Diceros bicornis minor: one gene and its partners. The protein of the gene in region 1 interacts with the protein of each later gene in a pairwise test. Links are inferred from orthologs where the notes say so. Each region holds a gene or a part of one and is shown on either strand. Other genes may lie near its edges. The genes, in order: DTX3, USP2 and UBE2L6.

Region 1 (11,000 bases):
GCCCATCTTCCTCCACTTTACATGGGACGCCACCACAGCATAGCTTGATAAGTGGTGCTCCAGTGCGCACCCGGGATCCGAACCTGCGAACCCCGGGCCACCAAAGCAGAGCGTGCGCACTCAACTGCTTGCACCACTGGCCCCAGCACTCCTGTTTTAACCTTCCACTGTCATCAAGGTTTTCCTCTCTCATAAATCTGGAACGAAGTAACACTCCCAGCTCTGTTAGGAGGGTTAGATCCCTTCCCGCTGTGCCTGCCTGCACCTGAGCCGCCATCTCCACAGAATTCACCTCTGCCAAGAATGTCTGTCGACATGCAAGTTCACGAAGGACACAGTATTCAACTCCTTTCTCTCATACCTGATTTTCACGTGCGCCTTGGGGTCATGGGGATGGAGAAGCTGGGCCTCAAGGGGATGTCCTAGCTCCAGGGCACTGAGTGGGAAGGCATGCTGGGAGACAGCAAGACTGTATCCCATCTAACACTCACTCACCCTCACCCAGTTTTCTCAGGTCACAGAACGAGCCTGGGGAAAACCGAAGGGTAAGGGCAGGCTGGAGTCTTCTTACCCCCTGGACACCGGGCGGGAAGACGTACTGGATGACGATGGTGCCGTACTTCTCATAGCTGGGCAGTAGGAGTGTGGCGTCCTTAGAGACCAGCATCCGCCCATTCTGGGGCTGGTTGCCCACCAGCTGCCCGTAGAAGCGCCCGCACATGGGGCAGGCCTTCTTCACCTGCAGGGCCCGGGTGATACAGCCCTCACAGAACGAGTGCCGGCACTTCTCCAAGGTCTTGGCGTTCTGGATCTCCCCCAGACAGATGGGGCAAGTGCTCTCCTGCTCTTCTGCCTCTTCCCGAAGGCGGGGAGGAAGAGGAGGGGGCAAGGGAGGTGGAGGTGGGGGGAGTCCCCGTGCCCCTGGGGGCAGGAGCGGGGCTGCTCGGAGAGGAGGTGGGCCTGGGCGGTGCAGCTCGGGGTGCTCCCCCCCACCCCCCAACGCCAGGCAGCCCATAAGCTCCCCCTGCCTCTGAGCTTTCTTCAGCTCTTTCTCTGCCTCTTTTAGAAGCCCCTTGAGAGCCTTCCGGGCCAGGTAGAGCCCATTGGGAGGGGCCGGGGGGGGGCCCTGTGGGGAAAGCTGGAGAACATAGATGTCAGAAGTCTCGCCATCTATGAGGATGGACACACGGTGCTCCTCGCGAAGCCGGGCCAGTCGGGCTGGGGTCTCCTTGCTCAGGAAGTCCCACACAGGCTTGGAGACAGTCACTTTGTTCTTGCAGGTGCCTCCACAGGCTGCCATTCTGGACAGGACGAACGACACTGCCCCCAGGGTGAAAGGGACTCAGGGTGGGGGGTCCCCATTTGACAAATGTCAGTGCCTCCTACTTCAGGTTCCTTTCCAAACCTGTATTACCTCTACTCTCTCATAGTCCCAACTCCTCCCTCTAGTTCATTTTCTATCTCCTCTCATCTTTCAAACCCCAGCACCCACTGAAGAGCAAGCAAGAAAGTTTCTATAACTTTGTTACTATCATCTAGGCCAAGCATCAGTCTTGGTTCTCCTTACACTCCTCCCAAGATCACAGAAACGATCTGCCCCTCCCCCCTCTGAGTGAAAACCGGGTTCTTTCAAGGGGAGGGAGACTTTTTGACCTCCTTTTTGCTCACTTTGATCCTGAAGAGCTTAGAATTGGCATGCAGGCTCTCCCTCTGTGTCCCTGCTCCCTACTTGTAGGTTGTGTGACCTGGTGGGTGGAAAGGAAAAGGAAGGAAAGTGAGAAACCCCTTCCCCCCATCCCACATGCCCCTACCCAACAGCCCACCGCACAGAGATGGGAACCTGGGTGTCAGTTAGTGGGAATGGGATTACTTGGAACATGGAATGGAGGAAACCAATTTAAAGGTGAAAATTGAGGTTCTCTTGGGAGGTAGATACCTGGAAAGCCCATGGACGGAAACAGCAGCAGAAATCCCTCTATTTCCACACTCGGCTGACCAGGACTGGGGGGAAGGGAGGAAGGTAAAGGGTTATGATGACAAAGGTTAACATTTTCCCCAGCCAGTCCAGACACAAAACAAAAACTCCTCTTCCATTTCCTCTCCTTCTTTCCTGCAAAATTCCCTCCCCAGCCACTCCCCAAGTTGCTAAAGAAGGAACTTGAACATGCTAACTTTCCTCTTTTCTTCCCCAGCTCTGAGGATCTCCAGAAAGCCTGGGTGCAGATAAGATAAGTCAGGAAGGGAAAGACCCACGCAGATGGAGGTCTTTCTTGCCACCTCCCTCAGATCACATGGACAAGAATATCTCCTATGCTCCCCAACTCCTCGCCCTGCTCCACATTCCCAAATAATTCAGCCCCTAGGGAGCCTTCCTTGAGAGCTAACCCAGTCCCTTCTGCGGAAGTCTGTTTGGAATGTGAACAAAGTGGCAGCAGCCCCTGCAATAACGAAGTTCTCACCCTCGCCTTATAAACCCAGCGCACGGAGGGCGAAGTGCAAGCCGGTCAGCAATCTAGCCCGCATTTAGGGAGGGGTGGGGCTCCCTCAGGGACTCGGCTGGAGGAGCCTGATGTTTCCCCTGAGTCTGGCCACGTTCAGCTACAGAGCTGTCCCTACACCACCTCCAAATGCAGCTCAAATAGAAAGAGGGGCCATTAGTGTGACCTCAATTCCTTGACTGATCCAAAGGGGAGCGGATTTCCGTTTGTGCCTCCACCCTAGTTCCCTCAAGGCCAGATGCACCTCGAGATTTAGAGAGTGAAACTGGACCCCGAGAGCTTCGGTTCATACTGTCTGTCCAGGTGGAACACGCCCCTCCCCATCAGACGGAACCCAGGAGCTAGGTGTCCTTAGCTCCAAGTCCTGCCGGCACGGAAAAGGGAGGCGGGGCCACAGTTTATGCTGGGTCTCTGATTCCTCTGGGGCAACCCAGGCCGGACACGGAGTCAGTCCCTCCCTCCAGAGAGAGGCCTGCAGAGGGGCAGCCGGGAAGGGCAAGGGTCCCGGGGGGCATCAATCGAGGCAGCTGCACCCCTCCCCCCACGACGTCCTGCAAGACCCGACCCGGAACCAACTCCCCACATCGCCCTCTCGCCGGAGCTCCCGGAGCCCCCTCATGGGTGCATGTCGGCCGATCGCGGTCCCCAGAACCCCCAAATGGAGGCCAAGGCTGGAGGGTGATAGAAAGAGGATCGGCCGGGCGTGGGGGAGTCGGGCGCCGCGCGCGGGGGAAGGAAGCGGAGGAGGGGGCGCAGGGGGAGCGGGAGGGCGCGCGGGGGGTGCGAGCCGGGCCCGGGGGGCGCGCGGTGGGTGTGGGGGTCGCCAGGCTCACCTACCTCTCGTCAGCGCCGCCATTGCCGGTCACATGACTGAGGCTGTTGCTGGGATGACGGTCTGGGCCTTAGCAACAAGGAGGGGGGAGACCCTGAGAAGGTGGGGGCAGTTTGCAGGGGGTGCAGACTGAAGGGAAGGGAACGAGGGAGGACGGCACCCTCTTCCCCCCTCTCGGTTGATAACCACCGTTTCCTTTTGACCTCTTCTTTCCACCAGCCCCTGCCCTTCCGCCCCAAAACAAAAATGGAGGCGCCGTCCCAGTCTTTGGAGGAGGGGGTGGCGTCCTGGAACCGAGGGTAGGAGGTTAAATCCCTCAGAGACGCCACTCTTCTCCCTTCCCCTCCCGGCAGGAACCCTCTCCCTTTTTCCCAGCCAGCTGCGTGGCAGCTGCTGGGAGCTGGTGGTGGATGGGTGGGTGAGGAGTGTTGGTTTAGGTAGATGGGGAAGAGGGGCAATTTTTTTGTGATCCTTATGCTGGAAGGGCCTTTGAAGAAGAATATGGGATGGGAAGAAGAATCACAGTAAAAAGAATAGCATTGGTTCTAAAAGATAAACCCCAGGACTAAACCATTTCAATCCCCTCCCTCATCTCTTGCCTTTACCTAGATTGTTACCTTCTGTGACCCCAACAACCTGTTCCCAGATGGCTATTGGTGAGCGCCTCTGATTTTTCTCTTTCCACAAACAGGGATATTGAGGCTGGTGCAGGATAGGGAGTGAATACATTTTTTTTAAATGCCTTGGCGGGGGGGTGGGGTCAAGTCTATGGTTGAAATAGTTAAAAACTCTCACAGAAAAAAAGAAAGCTGTGCTCTGTTCTGCTTCCCACATCAGAGCAATCTCCGCCCCCAGTCCAACTCACTTCCCTGGGGTCACATCAAGCCAGGTTTTTCCACCAGCCAAATGGCCTCCTCCCCAAGCAGTACTGATCTCCTAGACTGGCAACAACCTCTATTTGTCCACCCCCTTTCTTCACTCCCCCTCTGGGCTGGAGGGTTGGTCACTTTCTTCTTCACTTTCCCAGGACCTTGCTGTATGTACTCTTCCTGCCTTCCAGGCAGAGGACATCTTCCCCAGGAAGCCTGGGGGAACACTGAATTCCATCTCTTTTAGCTCCTGCATGCTGCCTGCGGTGCGTGGTGCGTGGTGCGTGCGTGCGTGCCTGAGCTGAGAGGCTCACTCATCTTTACTGAGATGGGAGTGTGATCAAGCCCAGGACCTGGGGGAAAAGAGAGAGTCATCTCGTCTCAGTTCCCCCTGGCCCCCCTATAGCTGAACTTCCACAAAGTTGGAGAATAAGTTTTCCATTCCCATGCACAGCCCTCGCAACCTTTAAGTTCACAACCATCTATCTAGAAACCCACAGCCTTAGTTAGGGGCCCAACAACTTAAAGATGAGAATTCTCCCTCTGGTCTCTGTACACCTAAGCACAGGCTTCCTCAGAAAAGAGGGGGGGAACAAGAGGCAGTTCTCTGAAGGAATTTGGATTCAATAATTTATTTTCTATATAGTGACAGCAATGGGAGTAAATACACAAGATCTTTTCTATTAATAAAACAAAAAAGATGAAAAACAGAAACAACTAATGAAGACCATACCGCTCATGATACATTAGCCACACGGTCAGAAAACCCATTTCTAAAGAACAACAGTTGCTGGTGTCATGGAGTTTTATTGCATTCAACAGGGGAAAGGTAGACTTGGAATGAAAAAGATCCATCAGGCTTCTGACAGGAAGGTATGATAGGGGCTCCAATCCTTCACTGGGGACTCCTCGTTACTTCCTTTGGAGTAGAAGATGCAGGGGAGAGAGGAATTCTCCTTTATGACCTCATGACTTCTGTGTGACAGATCAGTCCAGCCAGATATAGAGCGAAGAATCTTTGCATCCCCACAGGCCAGCTGCTGGTATACCCATCTTTATGTTTAAAAAAATGTAGAAGCTTCATGGGAGATAGAGGATAGCAAAAAGAATGGCTGCCTTAGCCCCAAAGGCATTGGGGGGAGGGGAGGACACTATCTCAGCTCATCAGGGTCCTCTACATTCTGAGACTATCACGAATCAACTCAACCCTCTTTGGAGGGGGCTGGGTGATTGAGTTATGGCTCTGACTCCTCTCTAAGGGTTGAGAGTGAAGATGACAAACAAGGCCATCTGTCCCCTGGGAGACACAGTAGCAGTATAAGATAGGACAGAAGAGAACAGAATAACAAAACCAACTGGAAAACCGGTTTGAGTAGGGGTCGGGGAAGGGAGTATGCTAGGTGCACACCTCCAGGGAGCAGAGGAGGTTCCCACACTTGAGGCTTCCTCTTTACATGACCAGGGTTGACCCAGGTAGTGATATTGCCTTCTGCTAGGACTAAAACCACAGGGATGGCTAGACACGAAGAAAGGAAATTTAACATGGAGAATGAACCTTACACCCCTGGCCCATCATCCCAGGCCGCACCCCCACTGAAGGGTTCCAGCCCCAAGATGGGTATGAGGTCCTGGTGAAGAGCAGCAACAGTCAATCAAACACCTTTGGAACGCTGTGGCCATCTCTGGGCTCCCGCACCCAGAAGTACAGGAGTCGGGGTGGAAGTGGGGTGAGGGAAGAGACTGGAGAGTAGTCAATCCTTGACATAGACCTTCTCCAATTCCCTGCATAATCAAGAGACCTCTTAGGTCCCACCTCCATGAGGTGCCAGCCTGCTGACCACTCTCCACCCCACCTGTGTGTAAGACTGGCCATGTCCCATCATATGTGTACATGCCAGCACCCACATCTGTAGTATCTTGAAATTCTTCCATCCCAGGGCCCACTGGGAAGGAAGCATGCCACAGTGAGTTCTATAAAGTTATCAGCAAAATTCAAATACTCTTAGTTCATCCCACACAGCAAAGTGCATCCAGAGTAGTTGCTTGAGCTGGGTCCATCTGTCCAGTCAGGTCCTGAAGTTGGCAAACAACCCCCTTCCCCAGCTCTTCCTATGTTATAGAAACAACAGGACACTTGACAAATCTCAAGGCACTTGGGAGAGTCAACAGTAACGCTCTCATGAAGCAAGCAGACTTGTTGGAGGGGAGGGCAAGGGAGGAAAACTGGACAAAGGGGAGAAGGGACGACGTATTTCTGAGGGCCAGGAAGAGCCCGCTCAACAAGACGGAGTTGTGGGGATGCAAGGAGCCTTAGCCTGAATTTAGCAAAGGAGGAAGAGAAGAAGTAGTGGCCAGAATATCCACAATTCCCCCAAGCCCCTCAGAACCCCACCACCTTGAACATAAGCCTTGCCAGCAGTCACCATGGAGTCAGGCAGTCTCTTAGGCAAAGATGTTGGTAATAAAATCCAGGAATCGCTTAGCATACTGCTCAGGATGAACAGTAGAGATCTCTGCCCCAGCCTGTGAGAGGAGGTATAGAACACGGTGTCAGGCCACCCCACGCCCCTTCCCCCCTGCCCGCCCTCTGTTCTACTCCAGACCGTTTCCATACCCAACCCTTTATCCTTTTGCCACCCCATTGCTCTGGCACAAGAGGCTCTCTCTTCCCAAATAACAGTCAAGACAGGAAAGGCAAGGCTTTGGGGAACCCTTACCCCATGCTTGACAGTTTTGGCTGCATGAGCTGCTTTCTTCTTGGCATCATACTGTGTCAGGATGTCAATAAGGCCCATGAAATACACCTCCTTCTGGGGGGCCCCTGGGGAGAGAGACCAGCAATGAAAAGCAAGTATAGCCCCAATCCCCTCTTCCCAGGAACCAGTCAGATCTCTTCTGAAAAGCTAACCAGCCTCTCTACCCACCACCCTGCTCTCTGTCTGCCAAGGACAACCCTCCCCACTCTTAAAATTTCCAGGATCTCTCTCACCCTCAGCACTCCGGATGGCGTAGACATCAATGAAGGATTCAAACTCTCCAGGACCCAGGGGCCGATGGGAATGGATGTAGCCGCCGATACCCTCAGGAGAGGTGCCATAGGAACCCACCAGAGCAGGAGGTCCTGTCGGGCCACAGTCCCCATCCCCCTCTGACTCCTCCTCCCGCACAGGCCCCTCCTCCTCTGGTTCAGAGCCCCGAATGATGTCGTGGATGCCCAGCAGAAGGCTGTAGTCCATGATCTTCAGCTGCACTAGGAACTGAGACCCCACTGACAAATCAGACACCCCAGCTCTCCCTCCCCACTCCCAGGTACCACCCTTATACCTCCACCCCTGAATTTCTGGGGCCCTCCTGGGGAAAGGAAGTGTAAAACTAGAGAGTTGGGAGTATACCATTGCCCTTTAGTACCTAAAAGTCCTGGTATCTAAGGTCATCCTTTTAGCTCATTCCAGTTCCCCCATCCATGGGTCCCCTCTAGGGGGGTGTCACATCTCATACCCAACTCCCCTACATGCAGAGAGCCCAAAGAATAAAGGGAAGGGGAGGAGTTCCCTCATATCGTGAATGGGAGAGAGAGCTAACCTCTGGGGAGCAAAAAAGGAAACAAAGCCCTTCCCAGAACACCCCAGTCATTACCTCCACATCTCTCTTTAGCTTCTCTAAAAATACTTTCTTCTCCTCTTCACCAATGTAAACTTTCTGGTTCTTGTTGAGAAAGTCCATATCCTTAAGGGTGGGCAATTCTTTAACCTGAGAACAGGTAAAGGGACATCTTGGTAATATATCCTTTCCCCCAAGGTCCCAGAGGACCCTGCTCTATCTAGGGCTCTGTCTCCAACTCAAGAGGCCTCTAGGGGAGGGAGCTCTCATGATCCCTCTCACCCAACTCCACACTGGGGTGCTGCCCCAGAGTTTGTTCTCACCTCCAGGGGCTTCCCCAGACCAGTCACTGCAGCTGTACCCCAAGTCACAGCCCACTACTTTCTGCTTATAGTTTTCAATAAAGACTCTCCATGCTGACTTTTCTTTCTTCTTAAGAAAAAACAGCTGCTTGAATAGGAGAGTCCAGAGTGGGAGGTGGAGGGTGGGCATTTTGCTCTTAAGAGTCTGGCATCCTCACCCATCCCCAAACCTTCCACATGGAATAACCCATGCCAGTGACAAAGCAGCTGTTCCCCCTGCCCCTTCCAAACAATCCCTGGATCAGTACAAGTTTACATCTTTTTCAGTAGATTAAAATAAGAATAAATAGCTGCTGATCCCTACCTCTTGATCCTAAGAAGATCCCTTTCACCTGCCTTCCCCCATCCCTCACCCTATCACCTAAAATCAGTATCACCTTTTCCTTATCGCTGGCTTCCCGGGACACTAGGGAGCCCTGTGGAGAGACCCAAAGACAAGTCAGCAGAAGTGGCTAAAGGAACAGTCAGCATCCAGCTCCTAAGATGCGTGCTCAAGCCCAGTCTTCTTTCCTTAAAATGAATGAGCCAGTGCCCTCCCAGGCCCTTCTCCACACTCAGGTCATCAGGAGCCTCCCCCTCAGGCCTGGCTCTCCTCTCCTTACTTTGAGGTCATACTTCCTGTGCACAGGAAGACGGTGGCTAAACATGTTGCGCATCACCAGCATGTAGCTGTCTTCGCTGTCCACGCTGACTCGGTACATGCCCAGGAACTGGGGCAACAGTGTGTTGCCATGGCACTTCACGATGTACTGGGGTGGAAGGGAGGAAGGAATGCGGAGAGGCTGAGCAGCAGATATACAAAACCCAGGGATGGGAATTCAAACACTACCATTCCAGAGTGGGGCAGAAAACTTCAAGTAGACAGGTTACAAGAAGGTCAAAGGGTGGGGGGGTGTTTCTAAAGATGCCCCTGGTTATTCATACAGTTTCTGAATCCACATCTCCTCTGATTTATTCCATTTGTATAATATCTCTAAATTTTAAAGTGCCTTCGCTCATTTCATCTTTATCATTCTTTGAGATGGGCAAGGTAGGTGTTATCCTTCTTTTAGACCCTTTTTGTATGCAAGTGGTCACAGAACCAGGATTAGAAATTACCTCTGCTTTTCAGTGAAATGATTTTATCTAGAACCAATGTTTCTTGGTGGGCTAGATTCTCACAGTAAAAATGTTTGCATGATGGCCTATAAATTTGGATTCTAAAAACAAAATTCCTCTTTTAATGCTACCATCTCTCTCTCTCTCTCAGTAATGCTGCCTACTTCTCTTCATAGCCAACCTCTCAGAAAATTAGTCAGCAATCAATCTACTTCCTATCTCTCATTCACACCTCAAATCAGTGAAATGAGATTTATACTCTCCTTTCCCCTCTGAAATCTCTCTGCTCCTCCCTCCCCCAAATCCCTCGGTTGCCAAATCCAATGGGTATCTGGTGATTGTCATATTTCAGCTGGGTGGCACTTGATACTACTGACTCATTTCTCCTTAAAACTCTCTTCACCCTCCGCTCCCATCATACCACTCTTCTGCTCCTCCTCCTCTCTGTCCTCAAATCCTGTATCGAATGAAGTAGGGCATAAATAATGAAGAGCATCCATCTACTCTGAGTCTCCTTTATAGGCTCTTTTCTCTTCTTGCTCCTTAAGATTCTGTCCTCAACCTTCTTTTCATTTCACCCCACACCTCCCTTCAATAATCTTATCTATATTCGTGTGGCTTTAATTTCTATTGACCTATAACTCTCAAATCTAGACTCCTAGTCTCATCCTCTTTCCTGAACTCTGTACCTCAACCACTTGCTGGACATCTGTACCTGGATGAACTGCAGAAACCCCAAACTCAACATGTCTAAATCAGAACTGTCTTCCTCCAAAAACCTGTTTCTTTTTCTGCTTCCCAACTGTTGGTGAATGGGTACCCAGTTATCCCTAACCAGGAATTTGGAGGTGCCTTTGCCTTAATTCCCACAATTCTCCCATAGGTCTTCCTTTCGATCTCCACTGCCATCACTCCTCCAGGCCCCTGTCACTTCTCACCTAGACTATTATAATTACCTCCTAACAGGTATCTCCACTCCCAGTATTCCCCCCTCCAATCCATTCCCTAAAATGCTTGGTGTTATTTCTAAGTAACATATATATCACTCCCCTACAAACCGCCTTCAGGATAAAGCCCAAACTCTTTGCGTGGCTTATAAAACCCTTCACAATCTGGCTCCTGCCTAACTATTTTTCGCCAATACCATATCCCAGCCACACTGAATTTTTTGCAGTTCCCCAACACCAAGCTCTCTCATGTTTCTGTGTCTTCACAAGTGCTGTTTTCCCTTGCCTAGAATGCTCTCTTCCACTTTGTCCAATGGTTAGTCTCTACTAGTCTTTCAAGAATCAGCTCCTATGACAACTCTCTCTAAAACTCTCTCTTTGAGCCTCCCAGTGCACCTCTTCCCCTAGGTGAGCTGAGATGCTCTTCCTCTGCAGCCCCAGAGCATTCTGTACATACCTCTACTATTGCACACATCTTGCTGTGTGCTAATGCTAGCTTACTGGTCTCCACCATTAGACCAAGAGATCCTTAAGGACCACAACCATTTCATTCACCTCTTTCTCCACTGCGTAACATAGGGCCTAGTAATAAGAGACATTCAATATTTGCTGAATAAACCAAAGACTCCTTTTAGAGTCTTTCATTCATTCATTGCTCATTGATTTTGGTGAGATTTTTCTTCAGTAGAAAGATATTTGGGCAGTGTTTTCATCACCAAAATATTCCAGAAACTCCATATTCCAAGTTAATCTGATCAGACAGAATAGCTTCCCTAATCCCACTTAGGGCTGGA
Region 2 (10,292 bases), on another chromosome or scaffold:
CTGTGCCACCTTCACAGAAGTGTCTCCACTCTGCCCTTTCTCTGCCTGAGTCCCCTCACTTTGCTCAGCTGCCCATCTTGGGGGTTGCAGCAGCATCCTCTGCACAGAGCATGCAGCTTCCTGAAAGGGTATGCGAGCCAAGTAGACATTGCGTTTGCTGGCAGATGTTGAACACCTCTGGACCAGGCCCCATGCTGAGTGCTTCCCATGCAGCTTCCCATGCCTTCTCCTCAGCAGGCTCACCTCCAACACTCAGACAGCCAGAAGAGCACCATGCCTGGCAATCTTCTAAGTGCGCTTCATACAGGGTGTCCCCAAAGTCTTAGCGCAGTTTTAAGCTTTAAAATTCTTTTTTTTTTTTTTTTACTGGGAAAAATTTGTCCTGAGCTAACATCTGTTGCCAATCTTCTTCTCTCTCTTTCTCTCTTTTTTTCCCCCTCCCCAAAGCCCCGGTACATAGTTGTATATTCCAGTTTTAAGTCCTTCTAGTTCTTCTATGTGAGCCACCACAGCATCACAACTACAGACGAGTGGTGTGTTTCCGCACCTGGGAACTGAACCCGGGCCGCTGAAGCGGAGTGTGCCGAAGTTGAACCACTAGGCCATCAGGGCTGGCTCTAAGCTTCACTTCTTTTGGAACAACAACTGCCTTAAACTTACAAACATCATTTGAAGATTTAGTTTTTTACAGTAAATTGAAATAATATTTTTATTCAAAATTTAAAAAATAGACAAGATATTTAAATAATGAAATATTTAAATGAAGCGTTTAGCATTCATATTTCTCAAGTGATTTAAACTGCACTAAGACTTCTGGGACACCGTATATTAACTCACTTAATCCTCACACTTGCCCTAAGCAGTTGGTGCTGTAACGATGCGCGTTCGCAGATGAGGAAACCAGAGTTTGTGGAAGTGATGTGGGTTTCCCAAGGCCATGCTGGGAGCAGTGGCACAGCTGGCCTGGGACTTGTGCTCTGTCCACTAACAGCCACCCTGAAGCCAAGCCCCCCACTTCACACTTCCTTGGCCTCTCCCAGAGCTGGTGTGGGGTGGGGGACCCAGGCTTCCACTGTCTAGGCAACAGCACAGCAGGTACAGACTCCCACAGGGACAGCCCTTCCGAGTTTCCACTGCAGGCAAATGAAAGCGAAGCCAAGTGCAACCTGAGCCCCAGTACAATACTGATCTGCCGCGAGATGGACCAGGAGGCCTCCATTTCACCCAGAGTGCCAAGCTCCTGCGTGTCCCTTGGCATCAGCATCTAGGCCCAGCCAGGGCCCTTGGCCCAAGGCTTGTTATGGACATGGACTCCAGCCTCCTACCCTTGCTCCAGCTTGGGCCACTCCCTAAGGCACCCAGGCTAGGTGAGGCAGGGGTTAAAATGAACCCTGTCCCCTTGGGGCAGCCAACCCCCTAGTGTCAGCCACTGTCATTTCCTGTCACTCACGTGGAGAGTGCCCTAACCTGCCCTGCCAGGGGAGGGACTTGCTTCCCAGGAATCCCAGGCCCTCCTGGCCCCCAGGGTAAGGGATCGGTAATGCCCCACATCCCAGCAGCCTGCATGGCCCCTCTCTGCCCAGATCCGCTCTGCTCTCTGGGGTGAAGGTATGCCGGCTTCTGTGGCCTTGCGGCTGCCTGGATAAAAGGCCTCTAGCTGGGTTTCAGAGGCACGCCTTAACAGGGTTCAGTTCCTAACCTCCTACCTAGGTGTCCAGGACAGGTGAGTGGGGAGTCCCAGCCAGTCTTGCCAGGTGCTTGGGAACCTCCACAGTGGTGACCTCAAAGCTTCCCAAAGCTGCTTGCTAACAACATCGGAATGAGGCACTGCTGATAAGCTGACCTTGAAGGGTGAAGTGGGCTGAGGGAGAGGCCCTGCCTCCCTTCATCTATACTCTCTGGCCCTCGCTCCTGGCTGCTCGCACTGCCTGGGCACAGGTGTCAACTCCTGGGTAGAAGGATGTCCTGGCAGGTGTGGAGGATGCAGGTAGAGTGGAGGATTGGGGTGCGGGACACTTGTGCTCACATCCACCTAGGAGCTCTGCGTACTCCTCTCAGGCCCCCAGGGGCCTCACTAGCAGCTCTGTGTCTCAGGGGCTGGCACCCAGTGATCCACCAGGTTACTGCCTAATCGTCTTGCATGCCTTGGCAGGGGGTCATCCCAGGGATTTTGGGTCCATCTCTGTCTGTCTTGCTCCGAGTAGTTGTCCAAGGGCTGGGAGAGGGGCAAAGCGGTAAGATAAATAGACTGGAAATTTAGAACAAGAATCTTGACTGTAGAGAAGAAGCGAGTGGGCTCTGGATAGTGTCTCATGATTTGGGGTTGGGAGAGGGTGGGCATCTCTGCACTTCCAAGAAAAGGCAAAGAAATGGGCCCCCGGGCGGTATGGGTATCCTTAAATGCTCTTTTCCACACACTTCTCCTGGTAGAAAGGCACTCTCCCGGTACCTCCTCCCCAGGGGAGAGCCCCAGTCTTTCTCCCTCTCCTCTAGTGCCTCATCTTTCCTCTGTTCTTGGGCCTCTGAGCCTTCCCTCTTGCCCACAGCACCCACCAGGCCCAGTGGGGGTGGCTTTTCACCTGCTGCCCCAAACAGACAGGGCTCCCCCTAACAGACAGTCCAAGGCCCTCTGGACAGCCACCCTGTGAGGCTCAGATACTAAAGGGGCAGCTACTGACCTGTGTCCGGGGGCACTGGACGGGATCTGGGGCTTCTCCTTCCCCAGCAGGGCAGGGAGCGCAGTGGAGAGCCCAGAGGCTGGATGGAGTCTGACTCGGGCTGGGTAATCCGGAGCTCAGGTTACCGACTCTGATATATATAGTATCTTATCTGACCTCACAGAGATGGCTAGCTCAACTCACTTGCATTCCAAGCCGGGGGAGAATTAAAGGGGCAGTGGCAGTCCCTCCAGTGCTTGAGGGGCAGCCCTGATGAGCCAGTACCAGGCAAGGAGATCCTACGAGGACTCTTTGAAGGGAGGCATTTTGAAGTGGAACAGAAGGGAGATTCAAGGGGAAACAACTGGAAAGAGGGTAGAGGGATGGGGGTGGAATTGAGGCAAAAATATGGAGAAAGAGGTGTCAGTCACAGAATTAGAGAAGAGGAAAAAGCCTCAGTGCTGGTCCAACTCCTTTAATTTTGAAATAGAGAAGACCTGGAGATGGAAAGCAGCTTGTTCAAGGGCACAGATAGTGAGAAGCAGGCAGGACCAGCTCTCAGGTTTTGAGTTCAAACTCTGAAAATGGACTTTTAGGCCTGGGCTTGTATTCTAGTTCTTTCTCTTTTATTGGCTCTGAGACAGTGGGCAAGGCACTTAAGCTGTCTGAACCTTTTATTTAATCTGTAAAACAGGAGGAAAAAATATAATAATAATGCTATACTACCTCACAGTTGTGAGGATTAAATAAAATAATATTTGTAAATTTCCTGACACATAGTAAGAGTTCAATAAATAATAATTATTATTACATTGAATACTCCTACTTATTATTATAATTAGTGGTAGTATTTGTAATAGCACCTACCAGGTGAGCCTTCCTGGGGAGAAATGGGCCTCCAGGCCACCCCTGGGGAGTGCTCTGTTCTAATGCCAGAGAACAGCCCCATGGTTTCTGAGCTGGTCCATGTCCCATAAGGGACAAGGGCAAACGAGGCTTGCTATATTCCCAGGTGTCCAGTCCACCCAGCAGACAAGGTCCAGGCCCATTTGGCAAGTGCAGCTTCCCCCAGCTTACCAGGAGAAGACCGAGCTGCCCTGGGGTGGTTCCACTCTACCTGTAGGAGTGCACAGGATTCCAGGGCCACGGAGCCGGGCTGGGCAGGGTCACAGCGGAAGGAGCAGGATTCTTAACCTCTTGGGCCTCGGTGCTCCTGTCTGCTCCCAGTCTGTTTCTCCTGTTTCCTGATGGCTCTCCCCGAGGACTGGGAGGACCCAGGATGGTGCCTCCACCCTGTCTCAGCGGAGGCTACTGACTCAGCTCGGGTTCTGATGATGCACTTCATAGGACGCCCTCTTCCTGGCCCTCATTCCAGTCCTCATTCTGACCCCGGTTTGGTATGCATCTGTAGCATCAGAGGAGTGGGGGATGCCCCAGCCCCAGCCCAACCAGCTCTCCTTTCCTCCACTTCACCGACGGGTCGGACTTGAGGGACCTTCTCATGCCCATGCCTGCGGAGGTGAGCATCACCGCAATCTCCAACTCAGCCCCATTCTAAAAGCAGCCAGATGGGGAGGGAGATGTTCAGTCCTCAGAGGTAGCTAGAGTGCGTTGCGCCAGGGCTCCTCTTGGCTGTTAAGTATAAGTTACTTGCCTTGGAGCACCGGTGCCTGCTTCTGGTTTGGGATTGGTGAGAATTTCAAAGATGCCTCTTACTGGGTTGGGATTGGTGGAAAATCTCCCCTTCCACTTAACTGCTGCCCCCACCTCCACCCCCACCCCTTTGGCAAACTGACCACGGACAGCCCCCCGGGGGAGCTTTAAGAGGAGGGGGTAAGCGAGCTGCACGCCCACGTGGGGAGAGGGTTGTCAGTGTCCAGGTGTCACTCAAGCCACAGGGCACAGAGACCTGGACCTGCGGAAGCAGCCTTTCTCTAGAACACACTGATCAGCACACAGATGGCTCTTCCTGGCGCCCTGAGCTGTCAGCTGGCAGGCCCCCACACACAACTGGCATCCACAGCTGGAGCTCCTCCGCGCAGCTGGCACTCGCCCTACATTTCTAGTGCCCATGCTGCCCAGGCTGTCGTTGACACCTCAGTTTCTCAGCCTCAAACGGCACCGACCTCCGCACCCCCCTCCCCAGTCTCTGACAGGTGGCACGTACCTGCCTCTTCTCCGAGGATGGACGAGTCGAGCCGGGCACAAGCATGGAGCTGCGGGTGAGTCCCGGCTGGTGCTGGCGCTGTGCAGTGAGCAGCAGCTGACGCAAAGGGCTCCCTGGCCTCGGCTCCTGCCCGCCTCTAACCCACCTCCGCCGGGGCCCCAGAAGGGACCTCCCCGGGAAATCGGCGCCACCCAGCGGGCAGCCGCTTCATTGCGCCTGGGCCGGCAAAGCCACACCCCACGTCTCGCGTGCCTGGGACGCGTCACGGCTATTGGCTTGTTCCTATTGTGGCGTAATTAGAGCCCCGCCCGGCTAGGGTCTCCCAGGCGACCGATATATACAGAGAACCACGTGGAGGAAAAGAATGTGAATTTGGAGGGGGTGGGGCACCAAAAGAAGTGGACCTGAACGTAACGCTGCGGGGCAGCTGGAAAGTATTGGGAAAGAGGAGGGGTCATCGGGAAAAGGCACAGAATTTGAGCCCCGGGGCATGTATATCCACTTCCAGTTTTTAGGGAAGGCTAAATGTTCCGGTTCCTTCCCACGCGGCTGGGAGAGGTCTTAGTTGTTCAGCCTCATCTCTTTTTCTCTACTCTTGAGGACACTCTGTGCTCATTTTACTAACATGAGACTAGTGATTGGTTTACCAATCCTCCCTGCGTGGGTAAACGGAGGTACTGAGTGGAAGGAATTCTCTTCGGTCTTTCGAGAAAAAGCCGAGACAAAACTTAAATTTTTGCTGCTCCTATTCTTAATATATAGCCTTCCCCTCTCCCCCCATGGTGGCAAAGAAAACTGCACTGCCAGGCAGATTGGTGTCAAGGCAAATGCAGGTTTTCAGTTTCACCTGGACCATGGATCCTTCCAAGTGTCTTTACCTCCCTCTCCTATTCTCCTCCGCTGGTATTTCTGTCCATTACCACTCTCAAGTCCCTCCTTGTCTTCTAGTTCCCAGAGAAGCTAGAGGCAATCAGGAGGGAAATATTTAAATTTCTGCCGACAAACGTATCTGAATCCATTCTTATCCCTGCTCCAGGAGCACTGAAAGAGGTGTCTTTCTTCTTGGCCAAGACGAATTCCATTCTGAATCTTAACCCTTCGTTTCCTTAGGGTCCTTATTCCATCACATTTTACACATGGCTATTGACTGTGCCACGTACTCTTCTAGGCATTGGGGATACATCGGTGAACAAAACAGGCACAATCCTTGCCTTGAAGGTGCTTACATCCTAGTAGTAGCAGAAGCACAATGCCAAATAAGTAAAATATAGAGTATGTTAGATGGCAGGAAGAGTTGTGGAGGCAAAGAAAGCAGGAAGGGGGTTATAGAGTGTGTAAGGTGTTGTCAGAGATGACCTCAATGAGAAGGTGACGTTTGAGTGACCTGAAGGAGGGGAGGGAGTGAGTCATCTGGATATCTGCAGAAAGAATGTTCTAGGCAGAGGAAACAATAAATGCAAAGGTCCTGAGTGTATTTGCCACTTTTGAATAAGAACAAGAAGGTCACTGTGGCTGGAGTGAAGAGAGAGAGAGAGCGTGGGAGATGAGATCAAAGAGAGAAGGGAGGGACCGCACCTTGTAGGGCCCTAAGGCCAATGTGATGACTTGGGCATTTACTCTGTAATGGGAGCCATTGGAAGATTTTGAGCAGAGGAAGGATATGGATCTGACTTTTGTTTTACCAGATTCCTTTATCTACTGTATGAAGAAGAGATCTGAAGACAGCCAGAGTAGAAGCAGGAGACCATTTAGAAGGTCATTGCAATCATTTGGTGAAAGATGATGGCGGCCTGGGTTGGTGTGGTGGCAGGACAAGTGAGAAGTGGTTGCATTCTGGGTGTATTTTGAATGTAGAGCTAACAGGGTTTTCTGATGGATTAGGTATTTGAGAGAAAGGGAGGAATTTTTGGCCTAAACACTAACTGAGAAGGTGTAAGCTGTGGAAGGAGCAGGTTTCTTTTGGGTGAGGGGGATCAGGAGCTTAGTTTAATACATATTAAGTTGAGGTGTCTGTTAGGCATGTCAGGATGCCAAGAAAGTGGTTGGATGTACAAGTTTGGCAAGGTCTGGGTTGGAGATATAAAATTGAGAGTCATCAGCATATGGATGTTATTTAAAGCCATGTGGTTAGAAGAGATCACCAAGGGAGCAAGTTTAAATAGAAGAGATGTGCAAGGACTGAATCCTGGAGCTGTCCAACAGAAAATGGTTTTAGAAATGAGTAGGAACCATTGAAGAGACTGAGGACTGGCCAGTGAAGTAGAGGAAAAAAAATCCAGGAGATGGTGGTATGCTGGAAACTAGAGAAGGAAACCTGCCAAGGAAAAGAGAAAGATAGTTCTGTCAAATGCAGCATATAGGTTAAGTAAGATGAGTCTGAGAATTGATTTAGAAGGTTGTTGGTGACCTTGGCAAGAATGGTTTTCCTGGAGTCATGGAGGTGAAAGTCTGATTGGGGATAGGTTCCAGAAAGAATAGGAGGAGAAGGATGGACACAATATAGACAACTCTTTGGAGTTTTGTGGTAAAGGAAGGAGAGAGATTGGGTGGGAGCTAAAAGGAGAAGTGAGGTCAAGAAAGTTGGTTTTTTTTCTTTTTTGGTGAGGAAGATTGGCCCTGAGCTAACATCTGTGCCAATCCTCCTCTATTTTATATGTGGGATGCCTACCACAGCATGGCTTGCTAAGTGATGCATAGGGATCCGAACCTGTGAACCCCAGGCTGCTGAAGTGGAGTGCATCAACTTAACCGCTACGCCACCCAGCTGGCCCCGAAGAGTTTTTTAAACGAAAAATAACTATATGTTTGTATGCTGATGAGAAAGAGCCAGTAGAGAGTGAGAATTGATGATGCGGGAGAGAGAGGCGAACTGCCGGAGCAATGTCCTTGATGAGGTGAGGGGAGGGGATCTAGCACAGAGTGAGGGCCTGGCTTTGGTTTGAGGCACAAAGTGGTCATCCAAAGAAAAAGAGAGAAGGCAGACTATCTGGGCACAGATGCCCAGATGGATGGATGTGGGGTGGATGTGCGGTGGATGGATGTGGTGGAAGCTGGTGGAGACTCTCTCCTAACGGCTTCTTTTCTCTCGGTGAATTAGAAGGCAAGATCAGCTGAAAGTGAGGATGAAGCAGGAAGGGTTGGAAATTGAAGAGAGAGGAGGAGTTATGAACTAGTCATCCAGGGCAGTGGTTCTCAAACTTGAGTTTGTATCAGAATCACCTAGAGAGCCTGGTAAAGCCCCACCCAGAGTGTCTGACTCAGCAGGTCTGGGGTGGGCCTGAGAATGTGCATTTTGAACAAGTTTCCTGGTGGTGAGGCAGCTGCTGGTCTGGGATGGCCCTTTGAGAACCACTGTGCTAGGGAGTGGGAGAGTGAATGGATTGTGGAAGTGCAGTAGGGTCGTCAGGCAGCATCAAGGGCCCATTTGCGGTAAGAAATCATGAATTGAGAGTACCTCCATTCAGCATTCTTTCTCATCGTGTTCACAGTTACTGTCACAGGTTTAGAGTCCTGTATCTTTTAAACTTTGATTTTCTGCTGACTTTCCCTTTAACATATAATAGTCTCCAAATTCTTCCCTTTTCAAAAGCGAAAATCATTAACTCAAGTTCTATCTCTCTCCTCTTCAGAGTCCTCCTGGAAGAGCTGGAAACACTGTATTTCCCCACCTCCCGGTCTATGCAGCATCCCCCTGTCTTCTACCTCTCAGCTCCTGGTCTGTGCACACTCCGTGTCTTCCACCTCTCACACGTCAGGAAGCCTCCTTACTGATCTCCTGCTTGCTAACTCGAATGGGCCTTTTTAGTTATAATCAATTACTTGACTTCCTGCAGACTTGATACCTCCAACCATTTCCTCCTGAAGTCGTCTCCTCCTTTAGGTTTTGTGACATGATGCTTTTCTGGTTTTCCTTCTGCTAGCTTCTTCTCATCCTCCTTTTCCTCTGATGGGTTCCTTCATCCTCTATTTCTAGTATAGCTTATAGCCCGGTGGTTGTTTATACGTGCAGATTGTCAATTTCCTGGGATAACGTCTGATTCCTCTGGTTACTAGCTGCATGAGGCCTGAAACATTTATGTCTGTTTCTTCATATGTTAAAAAAAAAATGAGGATAGTAGTAATATCTGCCTCATTGAGTTGATTTGAGGATTAAATGAATTAATAGGCATGAAAAGCTTTCAACAATGCCTGGCATGTAGTAAGTATGTAAGAATATTGCTCTGATGCACTATTTATCCATCAGCTGCTTGTATGTGCTGATGATGCTGAAATCTATATTTTCAGGTAGACTTCACTCCTGAGGACCAGTCCTAATTATCCACCTGCCTCCTGACATCCCCCTGGATGTCCCATCAGCATCTCAACCTCAACCTGTCTAAACCTTAAACTCATCATATTCCATTGTTTGCTCCCCTTCCTTTATTCCCTACATCTATCCCATTTGCTAGCCAGAAATTTGCTAGTTTCCAACTTCTCCGCTCCTTTAATTCTTACAGAGGTGTTATCTTAGTCTGCAAACTCAGATATGCAGGAAACACAACATTGTTTTTCTGTAATATAACTACATTTCTATTTGGAGCCAGCCTCTATTCTGCTGGAGTAGTGGACACTTAGTTTCAGTCAAATGATGGGATTGCCCCTCCTTTCTCCAGGGATTGCCTAAATTCCGGGAGGGTGTCTCATGTATATATTTTTGCTATAGCACTGGAGGAAGTGGCCCTTGTTATTACATGGCCACCCAAGTGTCCACTGAGATGTCTACTGCCTAGTTCCTGCTGGGTGGTCTCTTTAGGTCTGGTGTCTCTCTACTACCTCTAGGTTACTCTTGGATGCATGAGAATCATTCTGCTGCTTCTGGGCCCTGGCATAGCTTGAGAAAGTGACACTGTCCAAGGTTCCAGCCGTCTCTAGAATAGACTACACTCTGCGGTCGTTTCCTCTTTCTAGGGCCTTGTTTCCTTCCTGAGGATCTACCCAAGATAGGAGGGGTGGGGCCCCACTGCCATCAGATCTCTAAAACCTCTTTGGGGTTTTGCTGTCTTTCTGTGCTCAGGTCCCTGAGGACAGAACCCACCAACATCTATATACTTATTGCTTTTCCTCTGGCTCTTGTCTGCTGGTGGTAATGCCAATGGGAGGCCTGGCTTCACCCAAGATATTTCCTCCACATCTTTTGTCCAGGCTGCGAATCTTTTCTGTTTTATTAAGGGCCTAGGCAAGTGAAATTCAAAAGCCAGATGTGGCTTACCATTTTTTCCCCTGTTTTTTTCTGTCACATCCTTTCACTGAGGCATAAACACAAAAGCTTGGCTGCTTAAAATGGGGCTGTGGGAGTAAAGGGAAACCAATAAGAATAATATTTAAGAATACCGTCTCACCATGTTCACTACATCTAGAGGGGACAATATCTTTTTTGTGTGTGTGTGAGGAAGATATGCCCTGAGCTAACATCCGTTGCCAATCTTCCT
Region 3 (10,368 bases), on another chromosome or scaffold:
AGGGCTTTTCTCCATTTTTCTGGACTACAGGTCAGTTGACAGAGAATATGGCACAACCCAGGCCACTCTGTTGTCAGTAAAAATCCTAAATAATCAAACAAATTGTTTCCTTTATATTCCAAAGAGTTAAGAAAAAGCTGAACTATTTTAATTTTTATCTCCAAGTAACCAAAGGCGTATAGATGAATTTCTCAAAGAAAATATCTTCTGTCACTAGTAATTAGATGACAAAATAAAGATCTTGCCCTCTGACAGTCCTTTGGAATACAGTTTTCAAAGGGAGATTTCATCAAGATGATATCTAATAATAGAGAAAAATCAGAATAGTAGAGACAAGTTATCCATGTTGTCATATGGAACAATAATTTTCTGAAATATGATCTTAAAAGAAAACAAACTATATTTTAGATCTAAGGAAGCAAATTCTACCAACTGTGGGAAACAGGAAGTTTATTCCTACCCCTTGACAAAGGTCCAAGGGATCTTTTTTCCTTCTCTTTTTTTTTTTTAATGCTGTTTGCTGAAGCTTCTGTGGTGGGTTTGGTGGCTACTGGTTTGAGGAAGGGGTCTCCTACCAAGTCCAAACGTCTTTTAGCCTCTTCATCAGTCTGCCTCGACCTCAGAAGCAAGGATCCAGAGAGAGACCCCCTCTACCATGATAACCTCCAGTAAAGAAAAATGTCTCTAACGCAGGGAAAATTCTTGCCCAGTCCTAACCCTCCCTGCCCAGGCCTCTGGCCTGAGTCACCCCCATCTGAGGCCACAATCCCTGGGGACACTCACGGGCAGGAGGAGTGCGTGCCACACCAGGATGTCGGCGGCATCGCTGAACAGGTTCTGCAGGTACCGGGGAAGGTTCTTCTGAAGATCCTCCAGCTCCTGCGGGGGGCACAGACAGTGGACAGTGGGCCCTCTCTCCCCTACCTCAGCCTCCTCCCCCGTCCCAGCAGCAAGCTGTCCCAAGTCCCAAAGGGGACACCCTAGGGAGAGAAGCCAACAAAGTCAGAGCCCCCATTTACTGAGTGCTTAGGATGTGTAGACACGGTGCCAAACGCTTTAAGTGAATTATCCGATGTTAGCCTCACCCCAGCTCTGTACGTAGCAGGTGGAGGGAAGATGCAGATCCCTGATCCAGATTTTACAACTTGGGAGTAAATTCTCTTAGGAGCCTTTTCTCCTGAAACTGAGGTACTTAACCTCCATCCTCTTGTCCTCACCCGAGGAGTCACAAGTTCCTAATTCCCTCTCTCCCTTCCTTCCGTAGCCTCCGCTGAGTATCCAGCATGACATGTCCTTACAGTGCTCAAAGCAGTGTGGGCAGCAAAGACATCACCCCATCCCTGTCAATCTCCTCCAGACCAGGGCTGGGGCAGGGAAATGACTCAGGCAGCCCATGGCAGAGGAGAACTCCGCAGAGAAACAAGGGGACAAGGAGTGACTCGCCTTCCCAGAAATGTGGCCCAGTCACCTGGACATCACTGAATTCTCCCGACAGCCCTTTCCTGAGTATCCTCTGTTGACACTTGACTAAGACAGGGCCCAACTCTCCAGAACTTCATTGGAGTAATGGAAGCAACATGAATGTGATTATGTGAATAATGTGGGGATACATAACAGGGAAGGAGAGGAGAGGGGAGCAGGAAGGCTTTGCAGAGGGTGACACTGTGAGCTGAGCCATGCAGAATAAATAGGAGCCCATGGTGCAGAGAAGGGAAGAGGTACCAAGGCATAGGCCCAGTTAGAGCAAATGTGTACAGTGTGTCCCATGCAAGATTAATAATTATTACAGAAAAAGGGTTCCACAGTCAAGTACATCGGGAAACACTAAGCTAAACGGATTTCTTTACTGCAGGACTTCACAAAGCCTTTAGTATACTGTTGTGTATCATGAACCTCCAAGATGTGAGCCCACAGCATGCAGTACTTCTCAAATGTATTTGACCAAGGAACCCCTCTCCCCCTTTTGGGGTCCATCCTGTGGGGCAACAGACCATTTTTTTTGGAAAAGACCAATAACAGATAAAAAGACACTCAAGGGCAGGTCATATTCCTCTGGAACACCAGATGAGTGTAAACCAGTGGTTCTCAATCAGGGGTTATTTTACCCCCACTCTCAGGGCATTTGGCAATATCTAGAACCATTTTGGGTTGTAACAAATGGGGGAAGTGCTACTAGTCTCTGGTAGGTAGAGGCCAGAGAGGCTGACAAACATCCTACAAAAAATTATCTGGCCCAAAACGTCAATAGTGACAAGGTTGAGAAACCCTAGTGCAAACAAAGGCAGAGAGAGAGCTCCAGCCCACAGCTGGAGAGGAGTCCTTTAACACTGTGTCCTGTCTGACCTTTATCTGCCCCCCAACATAGAAACACATGCCTGTCCCCCATTTCCTATCCCTCAGCCCATACTCCATCTCTGTTCATACAACAAACTGCTTCTTGCACCTTCTGCCCAGAGTGTCTGACCTCTCATTTACCTTTTACCCCACACTAGAAGTATCTGCTACCATAAGTCATAGTTCTAGCATCATCTGTGACTCTTTGGCAAGAAGGAAGCCCCAGGTTGAACAGAGAGGCTCTGGAATGCACATTTTCCCGACTTCACTATAACTAGGAACACTTGGACTTTATCTGTTATGGATGAGTTCTGCCAAAACTTTCCCCAAGCCTGATGATGTTGAAACCCGAGCTAGGGGACACGGCTCTTTCCTGTGGCCTGTTAGGAAATCATCTGACTCAAGAGAACAGAAAACGAAAGTACAGAGCTCACTGAAAGAAACTGCAGATGGGAGCCCCATCCACCTGGGCTCAAATCCCAGCCCCATCACTCCCAACTGGGTGACCCTGGACAAGCAAGTTATTCTCTCTGAGCCTCCACTTCCTCATCTGTAAAATGGGCATACATGACTTATCTCACAGAGTTGCTGAGAGAATTCGATGAAATAACTAATGTAAATTGCCTGGCACTTAATGGTGCCAATGCAACAAATACTGGCTCCCAGCTCCTTCCCACTTGGCTGGAAAGACTCTCTGCCCCATTTTGCTGCCAACCTTCAGATTTCAGTTCTTCTGAGCTGAGCCTGCTCTGGGTGCCCCAATCCGAGATCATGTTCTTCTCAGAGGCTGAGCGTAGCAGGCCCTCCTTCACCCCCTTCAGGCCTGCCCCCAACTCCGTACATTGAAGGGGCACTGCTGAGAGACTCAAAGCCTGGGAGGTGTCAGACCCACTTCACCAGGATTGTCCTCCCTTCCCGGTCTATCTTCATCTCCTGGCTGCACCGCAGCCCTCCAAACACCCTGGGTTTTCCCCGCTCTTGGGGGAAATCGCCCCCTCCCCATCCTTCCAGACCTCATTTCAAATTGTGTCCCTGATTGGAATGAACTCACCGAGGGCAGGATTTTTGTTCGTCTCTGCCTCCCTAAATCCTAGAACAGGAGCCAGCACACAGTAGGCATTCGACAACATTTGCAGAACGAATGAATGCATGCCACCTACTCCAGGACAGCTCCAGGACCGCCTTGGCATCTCTTCCTACCGAGAATACCCAGGGAATCTTGCTCCCGACTCCTACTCAGTATCCCATACTTCTCGGGACGCTGATGTGGGTACCAAATCATGGGGCGGGGCGTGCGCTACTCCAGGGCAAGGACCTTTTCCTGGTTATTTCAGTTCACAACCCACCCACCACTACCCCCAGCAGAGCGCCTGGCTCCAAGAAGACGCCAAGGAACCCTTCCCGCACCTGAGACGCACGCAATTGTTACCACAAGTTTCTGGCAGGAGAAATGAAACTGAAACCAGTTTGGGGGGAGCTGGCTCATCCCCATTCCCAGCACAGCTCAGGGCGCCAGCGACACCCTCGCCTGATGTGTCCTCACCCCTCAAAACTCCAGCTCCGGCGCCTCTCGCAGACCCACTCCTCTGGGGAGGGGGCGGGGATGACAGAGATTCAGCCAGCCCTGGTACCAGATAAACGCGCTCAGAGAGCGGAGAGCCGGGGGAGGGATGGAGGGAGGAGGGAATGGGAGAGCGAGGGGAGCCAAGAGAAAGGGGGCATCCTACATGCAGTTACCTTCGCCACCCGCTTGCTCGCTGACATCTCGGGACCGAATGTGGGGCTTCGCGGACTTGAGCCAGACTGTGCCCCGACCGGCGGACTCGGCGCGCCCCGCCCGGGGGACCCCGCCCCCGAGAGCCCCGCCCACGCCCCGCTCCCCCAGCGCGTACGCGGGAGCCGGACAGTCCTGCCCCCCACCGCCTCTGCTGGGACTAGGGGCCGCCGAGGGGAGGATCCGCCTGCGCCCCGGCCTGGGCCCCGGCGCGGTGGGCTCCGATCCCCGGAACTTGCGCTCTTTGTCGGGAGCCGCCGCGGGCCCGGGAGCGCGCGGCGGTGCCAGATCCCTGCGTCCCGCTGGGGGGCGCCGCGCACCAGGCAGCAAGCGCTCGCGGCGCGGGGCCGGGGTCCGCCCATCCGGGTTCTAGTTCCAGCTCCGCCGCCGGAGGCCCCCCCATCTCCATCAGCTTTCCCACAGCGCCCCAAATATACACTCTCCCTAAATAAATAAAAAACTCTTGGTATGCAAATACAGCTCCATCAGACCGCCGCCCTAAGCCCCCTCAACGAATTCCTGGAGCCCCCTGGACAAATCACTTTCCCTCTCTGGGCCCAGTGCTCCATCTCTAAAAATGGATGGGGGCCACGGTAGACTATCTCCCCTCCAAGGACCCCTCCCCTGGCAGCTTGGGATCCTTTGTGCTGTCCAGCATTCGGTGGTGAGACTGCAAGGACCTTTCTCCCAGGTGGCTGCTTGGTGCAGAGCCCCGCAAGGGGGCGCTGTTGGGCCCAGTCTCTCTTGCTTTGAGGATTCGGTCGACCCTTCATTTAGTCCCTGGTTAAGCTTAGCATTTAGTAAGTGCCTACTATATGACGATTTGGGAAACAGTTGAGTGGGGGAGCTTCCCTTATTTTACCACTGGGCCATTACAAACTGCAGGTCTACTGTGTGCCCCGCACACATAGGCAGGAATTTCCACCCCTCTCTCCAGGGACAGAGACCCCTTCCGCCAGCCCAAAGCTGAGGCCACCGTGGAATTGCAGCTCCTGAACACGGAGCAGCGTCTGGGGAAGAATCTGCTAGTAAAAATGAGTCTCCTTGGGAGGATTGAAGCCATCTTCCTCACCCTACTCCTTTCAGTCCAAATGAGAAGAGAAACCAGCGTATTTTGAGCACGTTTTGAGTTCTGAACTCACTACTTCATGTAGTTTTTATCTAAGTGTCTTGGAGCCAAATGACTTCTCAGCTCAGATGTGGGATGTATTTGCAGAATGATTAATTCTGTTTAATTCAATCCTATAAACTTTATCCGGGCATCTTCTACATGCCAGAAATGAATAAGCCACTGTCCCCAATCCCATAACATAGGTAGAGATGAGGGAATGAGGCATCTGAACCATCTCAGTTAACCAGCATCTACTACTGAGTGCCAGACACTGACTTTAGGGAACACTGCGATGAGAAAGTGGGGTCCCTGCCCTTGATGAGCTCTCCTACTGGTGGGACAGAGGGAAAGAATGCAGCCCTTGCGTTTTTAATGCAAAGCAGTAAGCACAAGCCTATCAGGAATCATTTGGTGCTCTGGGAGCCTGAGGAGGGTCAACTTGATCCTGCCTCAGAGAGGGACAGAGGTTTCCTGGAAGAGATAAAAATCTAAGTGAGTTGCAAAGCATGATAAGGGGAGCAACCCCGTGGCCTAGTGGTTAAGTTTGGTGCACTCTACTTCGGTGGCCCGGGTTCACAAGTTCAGATCCTGGGTGTGGACCTACACCACTCGTCAGCTGTGCTGTGGCGGTGACCTATATATAAAATAGAAGAAGACTGGCACAGATGTTAGCTCAGGTTGAATCTCCCTCAAGCAAAAAGAGGAAGATTGGTGTTCAACATCATTAATCAGCAGGGAAATGCAAATCAAAACAACACTAAGATATCACCTCATGTCCATTAGAATGGCTATAATCACCAAGACAAAAAACAACAAATGTTGGAGAGGATGTGGAGAAACAGGAACCCTCATACACAGCTGGTAGGAGTGCAAACTGGTGCAGCCTCTATGGAAAACGGTATGGAAATTCCTCAAAGAATTAAAAATAGAGATGCCCTATGATCCAGCTATCCCACTACTGGGTATCTATCCAACGAAGCTGAAATCAATAATCCAAAGAGGCTTATGCACCCCTATGTTCATTGCAGCATTCTTCACTATAGCCAAGAAGTGGAAGCAACCTAAGTGTCCCTCAACTGACGATTGGATCAAGAAGATGTGGTATATATATACAACGGAATACTACTCAGCCATAAAAAAAGACAAAATCGTCTCATTTGCAACAACGTGGACGGGCCTGGAGGGTATTATGTTAAGTGAAGGAAGCCAGAAAGAGAAAGACAAACACTGTATGATCTCACTCATGTGTGGAATATAAACCAACACATGGACAGAGAAAACTGTATTGTGGTTACCAGGTGCAATGGGGGTGGGGGGTGGGCACAAGGGGTGAAGGGAGACATGTATATGGTGAAGGACAAACAAAAATGTACAACCCAAAATTTCACAATGTTAAAAACTATTAAAACATGAAAAAAAAAAAAAAGAGGAAGATTGGCAATGGATGTTAGCTCAGGGCTAATCTTCCTCACAAAAAGAAAAAGAAAAAAAAAAGAATATGGGGTGAGGGTGTTCCAAGAAGAGGGAACAGCATGAGCAAAAGTGAGGTGGCAGTGTATACAGAAACTGAAAGTGGTTCTACAGTGTGGAGCAAAGCCTGTCCACTGCTCTGTGGTTCTCCTTCCTTTCCCTTCGGAAACTCTGCATCCCTGAAGTGAATCCAGAGTCCTGGATTTAGCCCAGCTTCCCCATCCTGGGATGGATCCTAAACTCTCACACAGCTGGGAGGCCTGCATGCGCGGTCTCCATGTCCTTCCACAATGCAGACCTTTGTGTGTCAGAAGGAGACCCGGATTCTAGTTCCACATCTGCCCCCCAGTGCAGCATGGCCTTGGGTGGGACGTAGAAGCTTCTACCTGCTTCCCAGGACCCCTGTGAGGCTAAGCTCACAGAAGTGGAGGAACTTTGAAATCTATAAATCCAAGAAATAAATACTCAGGATTAAATCCCAGTTCCACTATTATTGGCTGAATAAACTTGGGCAAATTACTTAACTTGTCTGTGCTTCTGTTTTGTCATCTGTAAAATGGGGCTAATAATAGTGGATGTGAGGAGTAATGAATTGCTATTTGCACAATAAGTGATAGTTATAATAATAATAAATACTAAAATGATGGCAGGTGCCCGTCCAGGATCGAATGTGCTGGCTTGGAGGGAGAGATTACTGAGTTTGCTCCCTTAGAGCAATGGCAACACTATCTTCCTCAATAGAGCTCTTTAATTCTCTCTGATCTAGTCATTGGTGTTTATTCATCCATTCCAAAAATGTACTGAGCGCTTACTTATGCAAGACCCTGTGTTGAGCACTCTGGGGGCCCCGGGAAGGGCTGAGGCCAACTCTGTGTCTTTACCATTAAGTAGGAGAGATATTCATCTGTAAGTATAACAAAAGATTGGAGGAGAGAGGCCTCTAAGTTACTTATATGTGGAATCTAAAAAAAAAAAAACCCAAAAAACAAAAAAAATAACGAACTCATAGATACAGAAAACAGATTGGTTGTTGCCAGAGGCAGGGGATGAGGAGTAGGTGAAATGAGTGAAGGGGGTCAAAAAGTACAAACTTCCAGTTAAAAAATAAATGAGTCCTGGGGGTATAATGAACCACATGGTGACTATAGTTAATAATACTGTATTGGATGTTTGAAAGTTGCTAAGAGAGTAGATTTTAAATGTTCTCCTTATAAGAAAAAAAAATTGTAACAACATATGGTGACAGATGTTAACTAGACTTACGGTGATGAGCATTTTGCAATATATACAAATATCAAATAATTATGTTGTACACCTGAAACTAATATAATGTTGTATGTCAACTATATCTCAATTAAAATGTTTTTAAAAAATTAAAAGATGATATACCAAAAATAAGAGGCCTCAAGGCTTGACTTACTGTCTGTTTATTGTGAGCATAAAATGAGATTGTGTACATGAGGGGCACCTTGTAGGTACTAAAGTTACCTCACCTGTTTATAATGCAGAGTTCTGGGTGAGAGTTTCAAATTGTTCAGAAGGCTCCAAGGACCTTTGGAGCGTCTTTGAGGGGGGGACTGGTTTAGGACGGAGCTGTTGTTTTCCTCCAGGCCCTCTCCCTGGGCTTGTTCCTATCTGGGGCTGGGAGGGTTAATCTCAGAATTCCCCTAGCCCTCCCTATCGCCCTGCAGCCCAGAGAAGTTCTCAGGCAACCAAAGGAGAGAATTTCCTGCTTCTTTTGATTGAGGAAGGGACACCCTCTTCCTGTCTGCCTCACATACCTCCTTCTCCTGGGCAAGTCTCACACATACATACACACACACACACATACACATACACACACGCATATACAAACCTCTCCTCACAGACTACACCCCAATGAAGGTGAGCCCGGCCCTTGTGGGTGAGGTGGAGGGCATGGTTCAGAGGTAGCCATGGAGACAAGGAGCCCCAGGAGAGGAGCGAGGGGGATTCCTGCCACTAGACCAGGAAGATGGCCTAGAGAGTCAAGGAACCAGCTTCCTCAGCCTGGCTCAGCCACTAGCTTACTTGTTCCTTGGGGGACTTTGAACAAGAGAGATAACAGTAATGACAATGACAACGATAATAGCTAATCTGTATTGAATGTGCCAGGCTGTATTAGTCTGCTCGGGTTGCCATAATAATTTTATTTATTTATTTATTTATTTTTCCCCCCAAAGCCCCAGTAGATAGTTGTATGTCATAGCTGCACATCCTTCTAGTTGCTGTATGTGGGACGCGGCCTCAGCATGGCCAGAGAAGCGGTGCGTAAGTGCGCACCCAGGATCCGAACCTGGGCTGCCAGCAGCGGAGCGCGCACACCCAACCGCCAAGCCACGGGACCGGCCCAAGGGTTGCCATAATAAAATACGACAGGATAGGTGGTTTAAACAACAGGAATTTATTTCCTCATGGTTCCAGAGACAAGAAGCCCAAGATCAAGGTTCCAGCCTATTTAGTTTCTGGTGAGGGCTCTCTTCTGGCTTCCAGATGGCTGCCTTCTCACTGTGTCCTCATGTGGCCTTTTCTTGATGTGTGAACTCAGGCAGAGAGAGAAAGAGAGAGAGAGAGAGAACATTAGCTCTCTGACATCTCTCCTTATAAGGACACTAATCCTATTGGATCAGGGCCCCACCCTTATGATTTCATTTAATCTTAATTACTTCCTTAGAGGCCCCATCTCCAAATACAGCCACACTAGGGGGTTAGGCGTTACAGGGGAGACATAAACATTTAGTCCTTGTGCTAAGTGTTTGACATGCATTATCATAATTGATCTGTTTCATAGTTCTCACTTTCACTCTAACTTTATAAAATCAGTTCTTTTATTGTCTGCATGTTATAGGTAGGGAAACTGAAGCTAGGTCACTGGCCCAAGGTCACACATCTGTCCAGTCTCTAAGCTGAAACTTAAACCAGACTGCTGACTTTCTGTGTCTTAACTGCCATGTCTACCTGGGCCTCAGTTCCTTCTTTAAAGATGATGATGAGAATTTCTGCCCTGTCTGCTTCATGAGGCTGTAGTCAGAGGACTTTGACTTTGCAAAGGACTGTGCACATATAAGTTGTTATTCTTAACAGGGAACAGCCTCTAGAATGTGGCTGTCCCAGGACATTCAAATTAGCCCCAGGTCCTCTTTTTTTTTTTTTTTATTTATTTATTTTTCCCCCCCAAAGCCCCAGTAGATAGTTGTATATCATAGCTGCACATCCTTCTAGTTGCTGTATGTGGGACACGGCCTCAGCATGGCCGGAGAAGCGGTGCGTCAGTGCACGCCCGGGATCCGAACCCGGGCCGCCAGCAGCGGAGCGCGCACACCCAACCGCCAAGCCACGGGGCCGGCCTGCCCCAGATCCTCTTAGTCCCAGAGCTGGAGGGGAGCTTCGAAAATGTCTGGTGTTGTCTCACCATCCCACTCTCTGCCTCATCCAGCTGTGTGGACGAGAAAGCAGGGGCCCAGACAGGGGAAATGGCTTGCCCAGGTCATGGAGCAGAACCCAGATATCTCTATGCCTGGTCAAAGTGAATGCTTCGCAGGCTTCCTTCAATTGCTTCAGCATCAGCCTCATCTACGAATTCTTTTGATGGGAGCAAAGGGGTCGCATTCATTGTTGGTTTGCTACCCCTGTCCAGAACCAGGATATGTTGAGTTTCATG

Evidence for each region.
Region 2: the proteins of DTX3 (region 1) and USP2 interact in binary tests that used the Homo sapiens proteins (3 or more experiments, as listed by UniProt). The link is inferred for Diceros bicornis minor from reciprocal best matches to the Homo sapiens genes DTX3 and USP2.
Region 3: the proteins of DTX3 (region 1) and UBE2L6 interact in binary tests that used the Homo sapiens proteins (3 or more experiments, as listed by UniProt). The link is inferred for Diceros bicornis minor from reciprocal best matches to the Homo sapiens genes DTX3 and UBE2L6.

Annotation. Positions count from the first base shown.
Region 1 is NC_080756.1:11,379,848-11,390,847, forward strand, and holds the start of DTX3 (probable E3 ubiquitin-protein ligase DTX3), read right to left. Parts: upstream 4,432-11,000; 5' UTR 3,336-4,431; intron 2,634-3,335; 5' UTR 2,460-2,633; intron 2,002-2,459; 5' UTR 1,937-2,001; intron 1,746-1,936; 5' UTR 1,698-1,745; coding exon 1,669-1,697; intron 1,321-1,668; coding exon of another isoform or gene 1,302-1,320; coding exon 572-1,301; intron 1-571. Other genes in the region: PIP4K2C (phosphatidylinositol 5-phosphate 4-kinase type-2 gamma), read right to left, coding at 6,642-6,722, 6,917-7,020, 7,189-7,456, 7,836-7,949, 8,539-8,577, 8,764-8,910. UniProt on the Homo sapiens protein: Regulator of Notch signaling, a signaling pathway involved in cell-cell communications that regulates a broad spectrum of cell-fate determinations.
Region 2 is NC_080746.1:17,642,897-17,653,188, reverse strand, and holds the start of USP2 (ubiquitin carboxyl-terminal hydrolase 2), read right to left. Parts: upstream 4,925-10,292; 5' UTR 4,825-4,924; intron 4,287-4,824; exon of another isoform or gene 3,735-4,286; intron 1-3,734. UniProt on the Homo sapiens protein: Hydrolase that deubiquitinates polyubiquitinated target proteins such as MDM2, MDM4 and CCND1. Isoform 1 and isoform 4 possess both ubiquitin-specific peptidase and isopeptidase activities.
Region 3 is NC_080770.1:16,363,330-16,373,697, reverse strand, and holds the start of UBE2L6 (ubiquitin/ISG15-conjugating enzyme E2 L6), read right to left. Parts: upstream 4,168-10,368; 5' UTR 4,099-4,167; coding exon 4,072-4,098; intron 880-4,071; coding exon 784-879; intron 1-783. UniProt on the Homo sapiens protein: Catalyzes the covalent attachment of ubiquitin or ISG15 to other proteins. Functions in the E6/E6-AP-induced ubiquitination of p53/TP53. Promotes ubiquitination and subsequent proteasomal degradation of FLT3.